2 linked regions of the Alligator mississippiensis genome follow. The protein of the gene in region 1 purifies or fractionates together with the protein of each later gene. This does not show direct contact. Links are inferred from orthologs where the notes say so. Each region holds a gene or a part of one and is shown in the gene's direction. Other genes may lie near its edges.

Region 1 (3,912 bases):
AGTAAACAGACAGTGTACAGAAATGGCTTTCAAATTCCCTTGGCTTGAGACTAGATTTGAATCAGTGCCCTTGAGATGAACAGCTATTCCTTGCCAACTAATGCTATTCTAATAACAAAGTTCCTCGGTTCCCCATCAGGATAATACCTGTTTTCTAAAAGGTAATTTCCACTAATGATTATCAATGAGATTATTCTGTTTACTTTGTCCTGGTTGAAGCATAGTTGCTTTTTTTTTTTTTTAAGAGTTACATGTATGCAGCTATACAGGAGCCTGGTGAGGTGACTTATAAGCAGGGGGTCGCAGATCAGGAGTAAAGGGCATTGACAGAGTTGTGTGGGAGCCTGAGACTGGATCAGTAGCATGCACTTAGGGGGACAGGATTAGGACTTCTGGCCAAAAAGAGAAAGAGCTCAAAACTGCTGTGAAAAGGAGCCTAGCAGGTCAGGACTGAGGCCATTGGCAGAGCTGTGCATAGTCGTTATCAGGGATATTAGTTTGGACAATGCTGTATCTGTCCCAGCTTGTCTCTTTAGTCTTTTCATCACCTCTCTCCCTTCCTCCTCAAAGGCACCCACTGCCCTCAGAAAAGCCTACTTATATGCATGTACACACACCTTTCACCTGCCCAAGTCATTTTATCTCTGTGCCATTTTTCCTTTCCCTCTAGTGGGACCAATGAGTGTAACTAAGAGAGAAAGAAGTTGCTGAGCAACTAGTGGTCCCTCGAGGAGGAAACAGCAATCCACCTGCACTTGCCTTCCCAGGTGACCTTCTCAGGTAGGTGGAGAAGTGCTCTTATCCTGGCTGTTTATACCACCATCCATGCACACTGTCCCTTTTTGCCAGTCTCCCTTGGATGGGATTCCTCCTCCTTCTCCATCAGAAAAAGCTACAGCTCTCCCGAGCGCATTGAATACTCTATGTATGACCAGACGGGGCAAAGGCCAAAATGCAAGAACATGGCGTCAGATTATTGATCACTGAGGAGGCCTTGGCCTGAGTAAATACATGTCATTTGATATGTCTGTGCGTGAGTGTGTAGCCAGTCACACACAGAGCTGCATGTTTCAAAGGTAGGTCTGTAGCTCTGGGGGGAAACCCCAGTGTCTAGAATTAATCTAACAAAGGGAGGCTTTTTTCTGCTTGGTTTGTAGTTCCTTTTTGCTGCTGTTGTTTTGAAGGGAACCCTTGAAGGTGGACTAAAGACCCTCACCTGTTCCCTCCCACTTTGGGAGAGGGAACCCAGATGGGGAATGAAAGGTGACCACGGAGAAGCAAAAGAAGGAAACCAGTGCTTTCCATTTCAACTGTGCATGCAGGAGACAGGATGTGGTAGTGCTAAAGGATTCATCGTGCATTTCTGTGCCATCTTTGGTTGTGTTCGACATTTCTGGTGAGTTGCTTAATTTTTACGCTGTGTTCATGTGTCTCTATACTGAGGGGTGGGCAGGTGGGTGGGTATATGAGGTGGGCCACAGCACCAGGTGAAGAGAGAAGGCTGGCTGGTACTCACACACATCCATGCACACATACGAGCACAGACCACTGTACATGGATCCACAGGCATGAATACCTGAGGATTCAAGCACGTGTTTTCCTCTCACACACTGTCTGGCACTCTTCATACATTCACAGTCATGGAAACACTCAGGTGCATGCATTATCAAATAAATGCTTGGGATAACATGTCCTCTAGGAGGCATATCCTCATGTAAGCATTTTCATAGACTGGAAACTACCACACATACACTCAGGCATGAGTGTCGGTAGGTCATCAAGGTGGCAGTCCATCTTGTTAGGTTATGGCACGTCTTACCTGAGGACCATGAAGCTTGCAGGAAAGGGAGCAGACAGGAGGAAGATGGACCATTTGTTGTTGAATTGTGATTAAGGGCAATCAGAAGATGTTGGTCAGCAGGACAGTGAGGAAGACAAAGGACTCAATTGCCTTTGGGCATTTACCCCTTGCCACAGTCATATCCTGAGTGGGTTATAGCTCTGAGGTCCCATACAAAAGCAGCTGGAGCCCACTACCCCTGTTGAGTTTGTAATATGGAATGACAGGGTTATATTTACCTGTCCCTTTACAGATTGAAGGTCAGCTGAGGAGGCCAAAGGGGAAAGAACTGGAGAGGCTGGGTGTGATTGCAGTAGCAGAAACTGGAGTGCTCTGAAAGGACATACATGGGACTGAGCAACACCACATGGAGATCTCAGCAGAGTTAATTAACCAGGGCTCAGCACTGTGTTAATATGGTTATATTACTTCCTTTGCCTGACCTAGCTCTGAGGGAGCTGTGGTCAGGTGTCACTGAATTGTGTCGTCTGGGCACCTTTCCAGCAGTAACAGGGTTGTGCAAGCTGTGAGTGTGTGGGTGTGTGTTCAGATACCTCCTCTAATAGAACTTAACTCTTAAAGCTATTCCTGGCCTGGTGGTCTAACACCTTAACCTGAACACAAACATGTATAATGATAAAAGTATAATTAAAGCAGGATAACTGTGGTGGGGAAGCAAGGCCCTAGTTTGTTACAGTACAGATCAGTATGAGATGAAATAACTAGAGAAGGGGACAAGTCAGGGAAGCATTAATAGGCAAGCCAATACCAAAAGATGGGAATAGAATCCAGCATCCTGACTCTCACCTTGGATTTATGTAGCATAACATGAATTTACGATCTTATATCCAGACTAACTTTAAAAGCAGGATCTTCCTGTAATGAGCAATATGTTTCTTATAGATGAGCCACAGGGACAGTTGTCACAGTTAAGTATCAGTCCGATTAATCCTTTGGAATAGAGTTTTTAAGTCAGATTCTCCCAGTCCAGGGACCTTGTGGCATCATTTTCACCTGTGTGATGAGAGTATAAAAATCACCAGCCTATTTTAGTTGACTTTTGCCAAGGCAGCAGGAAGTCTGGCTTGGAGTGGTTTGGATTCTCTCAGTTCTTACTGCCCATGGGGTGATAGCGCTCTCCATAGTCAATGCACCTTTCAGTTAGGAGCTGGGCATGGAATGAAGGGAGCAAGATCTGGAGCACTGTGATCTCAGCAGAGGTGATGCTGGTGCATTCAGTGACATTTGGGGAGAACACCTAGCTAGGCTAGGGAAGCCTCAAAAGATTAAGATATTAGATATTTAGGGAATGTATTTACAGGGCAAGATCCTAAAGGCCTAACTCAGTCCCTGCCTCAGCAAAAACTGGATGAACTCTAACTGGATTTTGGGAGTAGTTTTACTTGTGAAAGCATGGGGCAAGGTCTCTGGTATTTGCAGGTAAACAACAAGGGAATGCATAGATAAGTGAAGAGGCACATAATAGATGATAGAAGGCTTGCTGGTAATGAGCAAGTGGCATATAGAAGAGCTGGCCTGATCATTGGTTTTCTGCTTCGTTAGATGGCCATGATGGAGGCCAAAGAGCAGGAGGATGTGAAAACCCCATCTGAGGATGAACCTAAGAGGAGGACACAGGACTGCCTGCGCTATGCACCTCTCTGGATTGTCCTTGTTCTTCTGGCTGGAGCTGGAGTGCTGACCTGGTATTTTGTAGGTAATGGGTGATTTGCTTTCTACACTGGGGCTGATATGGGCTGGCAAGGATGGAACTGGTCCACATCCAGTCCTAAGGGAGTCAGTGACTTCTGGACATACAGCAGTGGATGACCACCACCCCATCCCCTGTATACAAACACAAACACCAGTGCCTCACTAGACTCCACATTCACAGGCTAATCTATCTGTGTCATCTGTTGGCAGACTACAGACCACGGTTTCTGGAACCAACCATCCTGCAGTTCTACTCTGGTAGCCTCCGGATCCTCAATCGCCAGTACTCGCTGGACCTTGGACGGCTGGAATCCAGAGCCTTCTGGACTGAATCAGCCAAGCAACAGAAGATGGTGGGA
Region 2 (3,912 bases), on another chromosome or scaffold:
TATGTTTTAAACACATGGAACAACCCAGCCCAAGCACAGGGACAGTTGCTCACCCCGGAGCAGGTGCTTCTGTCTATTGATTTATCTGTACTCTGGCCTTTCGGGAGCTTTTCTGTGAAAATCTGCCCCCCACCCTCACGTAGGAGTGGGTTACGGGTGGGGGGCAATGGGACAGCTGGATTAACAGCTTCCTGCGTCTGCTGTCCCCAGGGATGCAGCCCAGAGGATTTCAGCTCTCCCCACATCTGGAGTGGAAATGCAAAGAGGAGTCTGGGTCTCTCATGTCTACACTCCTAACACCCTCTTTTCCACTCGAGATGGGCCCCTGGGCTGGGAGGATTGAAGGAAGGAGGAGGAGGCAGTGAGACGCAGAGGTGTCCTGATGTTCTCCAGAACTTCCCGTTGCAGAGCTGGGACGGGGAGTCCGTGGCTTCCCTGAACCACTGAAGCCATCCCCTGAAGCCCCTGCAGCTTCTGATGTAGAAGAGAAAGCACCCCAGCTTCTCCAAGGGGGTTTGTGCACTCTAGGAGGTGCCCAGAGCTGCCCTCCACGTCCACCCAGGTGGACCCTCCAAGAAGCAGGACAAGACACAGGCCTCTGGGCACGAGACCCATTGTGGCAACATATATCTTGATCCTTCCTGTGCCAAAACCAGCGCTGGGAGTTGTTGAAACCTGGATTCTGCCCAAGCCCTTCCCGGCTTGGCTGCTTTTCGTAGATCCACTGAGTTGGTTTAAAGACCGATCATCTTCTCGGCTGCAGAAACTCAGCTCCGGGGCGTGGGGAGCCCCAAATCCATCGCCCTAAGAAGAGAGCAAGGAGAGGTCCAGTGCAGTCAGGCGTGAGCAGGGCTGTCAGATCCTGACGAGGTCTCACCAGCATCACCTGGGGGGTCTCTAAGTTTTCAGACAAGAAAGCGGGTGTAAACCAGAACGTCCTCGGCCCTCTGGAGTCTCCAGCCTCCCCCCCTGGAATCCTGCTTTAGGGATCAAAAATACTGCTGGCTATTTTTAAAGTGGTAACTTAGAGCTTCTGTTGGGCTCCCAGGGACGGATCAGGTTGTCGTAAAGTTCAGCTGTTTTCGGCTCGCACCATAGCCAGTCCCCCGGCGTTAGCAGACTCGGTTCCCTTTTTTTTTTCTCTCCTGTCTCCTTCCACCAATGCTTCTAGCTGGCAGGTGAGACCGGGAAGTCGGGACCAGAGCAGCACAAATGGCAGGGCTGAGGTTCACCAAGGTAAGCATGAGCTCTGGCTCCTTTGGGTTTTCTCTTCAGAGGGCGAGCAGTTGAGGTTTGCTATGCCAGCACTCCTCCAGCCTTTGCTAGTGCATCACAGTCTGGAGCTGCCACTGCAGTTCCCCTTGCTGCTGTTCCACCCGGCTCTGGGGGCTTTGCCTCTGTCCTTGTACTGCATCAATCCTGGCTTCCCCATTAATCCTGACTATCCCAGTCCTAGCACCCTGCATGGCTCAGCCCATGGACTTCCATCCCCATGTCCGCTGCTCTGGACCTCGTCCTCTCTTGAGCATCTTCTTGCAGGATGGTGAAGGGTTTCCTAGGGGAACCAGCAAGGCAGGCCGAGCCTGTCTGCACAAAGATTTAAATCAGATCACTTTAGTTGAATTAGGGCTGGTGGAATTGCCGGGGAGGCTGGACAAACTGCCTGGGAGGGTGCGGACAGGGATTTATAGATGCATAGATGCTAGGGTCGGAAGGGACCTCAATAGATCATCGAGTCCGACCCCCTGCATAGGCAGGAAAGAGTGCTGGGTTTAGATGACCCCAGCTGATGATCCTGTCTTGGGTGGGGGGTCAGATGAGATGGACCTTGAAGCCCTACCTGTCCATGCATAGTGTTGCACCGAACCAACTAAGCAGCTATAAAGCTGCACCTTTGGTAAAACCTGGACCATGCTCTGTGTGGTCCAGGCCTGGCTGAACGCACTGCATCATCCCCCAGGCACAACCTAGGGCTGAGATTCATGTGCCAGTGCCTCAGAGGTGTCCTCATAGGATGAATCATCACTAAACCAGAACCCTGGCATCTCATCTGCTTTTGGAGAGTCACTGTTACCCCATCCATGTCATGGCTCTGGCAGGAGAGGATTAATCAGCCGGGCTTTAATTAGAGCAGAACTCCTCCACTTGGGGTTTGGTACTAGACTGGCATAGAGAAGGGAAGGGGGTATATCTGTTTGGGATCCAACCAAACCTCCAGGACCGTCTGGATCTTTTTCTCCCTGTTCCCCATCACCTCTTTTTTAAGGTCTCCCTCTGCCCTACTGGCCCGCGGCAGGGATGACACAGCAGTGCCAGAGCCGTGGCATTTCTAGGCAGGGCCAGGAAGCAGAGATGATCCCAGGTCCTTTGAACCCAGGCTCCGAATGGATCCGGAGGGGCTGGAGGTTGTGCCAGCACAGCTGTCTTCTCTGCTTCCTCCTCCTCCTTCCAAACTGCAGCTCTGCCGTGTCCTGCCAACTCCAGCCTGCAAAATTCCCAGCCTCTGTGCGCTGAACGCATGCATCCCACCTAACGCCTGGTTACATCTGCTGCAAGTCCCCTTGTTAAGGCTCCAGACGGCCTTGTGGGCCTGGCAGCACATTCCTGATTATGGGAGCTGGCAAATTCGCTCCGTGACCTGCGTGATGGCTCTGCGTGACCCATGTGATGGCTGGGGGGGACCTGCTGCAGAAGAGCAGTGGTTAAGAGGTTAAAGTCAGGGGTTCCCATAAGGGGGTCTGTTTGAAAGGTCTGAATAGTTCCCTATCCAAACCCCTTTGTGGGGCCCGGATGGGACCTTCTGCTCTTCTGGGAAGAATGTTCAGCTGCCCCCACTTCTGCCCTCCCTGTAACACATTCCCACGTGGGGCATCCATGCCCTGGCACAGCTGGCAGCTGGTTTCCAACAGATGGTGCTCATCCCCTGCAGTCCAAGTCCAAGCCCTGGCCGGGGTGGAGCCTCATGGGAAAAACCAACCCCGAGGCCATGACACGATGCCCTCGGGACTCAGGAGAGGGGCAGATAGAGCGGGGAGGAGTGGGGAGCCTGATGGGAGCTGCAAAGAAGGCTCTTGCAGTTCACAAGGAGGGGTCAGGTCTTGATTCCACCCAAAAAAGCAGGAGCTGCAATTTTATTGAGTTTATGGTATCTGAGCCCCTTTTGGGTGAATTATGGTATCCAGGGACTGAGTAACAGTTGCTCCTGGGTGGAGGAATTAAAGCTATGTGGTCTCTCCCTCCACCTGCTTCTCTTTCCCTTGGAAGGCTCAGGTAAGGCATGAGGGGCTGGGTGGATGGATTTATGGAAGGAAAGAAAGAAGGCAGGGAGGATGGATGGATGGATGGATGGAGGGATGGATGGATGGATGGAAGGAAGGGGCTTAGTGCCAGGGATGCAGACCTTTCTCTGCATTTAGCAGTGGGAAAGTAACTCTTCTCTCCAAAGCTGATAGGAAAAGACACTCTGCCAGCAGCAGTTTGCTGCTTCTCTGAGGCCAAGCCAGACTCCAGCAATTTGAGGCATGCTCTTTGCAAAGCAAACCCCACTGCATGCTTTTGGCAGAGCTGCTTATCTCTTTCACAGGTGGACTTGTTAATTAATCCGTCTTGCTTGGGTTTAACGAGGGGGCCTGCAATCTGTCTCCTCTCCAAACAGGCTGGTTTTCAGGCAGGACTGGAGATTTGCATTGTCTGCAAAGGCAGGGGAACAGATAGGAGCTGGTGTTTTAGTCTTTTATGTTATTACTTGTGAAAAATCATGAGATCTGCTTAGAATTTATGGATTTTTTTTTTAATCAAACCTTTTCCAAGAGGCTTCTTTGCATTCTGGTTTGGGATTTTTTGAGGGGTCTCGTTTTCAGCTGTGTTTTCTAGACAGCTTTGGAAACCTGGTTTATGGAAGCTGAGATTTTC

What was found.
Region 2: the proteins of TMPRSS6 (region 1) and HJV purify together in Homo sapiens (co-immunoprecipitation; 3 studies listed by IntAct). This does not show direct contact. The link is inferred for Alligator mississippiensis from reciprocal best matches to the Homo sapiens genes TMPRSS6 and HJV.

The regions. Positions count from the first base shown.
Region 1 is NC_081827.1:100,544,556-100,548,467, forward strand, and holds the start of TMPRSS6 (transmembrane protease serine 6), read left to right. Parts: upstream 1-1,004; 5' UTR 1,005-1,396; intron 1,397-3,403; coding exon 3,404-3,557; intron 3,558-3,763; coding exon 3,764-3,906; intron 3,907-3,912. UniProt on the Homo sapiens protein: Membrane-bound serine protease. Through the cleavage of cell surface hemojuvelin (HJV), a regulator of the expression of the iron absorption-regulating hormone hepicidin/HAMP, plays a role in iron homeostasis.
Region 2 is NC_081838.1:17,970,214-17,974,125, reverse strand, and holds the start of HJV (hemojuvelin), read left to right. Parts: upstream 1-996; 5' UTR 997-1,236; intron 1,237-3,001; exon of another isoform or gene 3,002-3,270; intron 3,271-3,912. UniProt on the Homo sapiens protein: Acts as a bone morphogenetic protein (BMP) coreceptor. Through enhancement of BMP signaling regulates hepcidin (HAMP) expression and regulates iron homeostasis.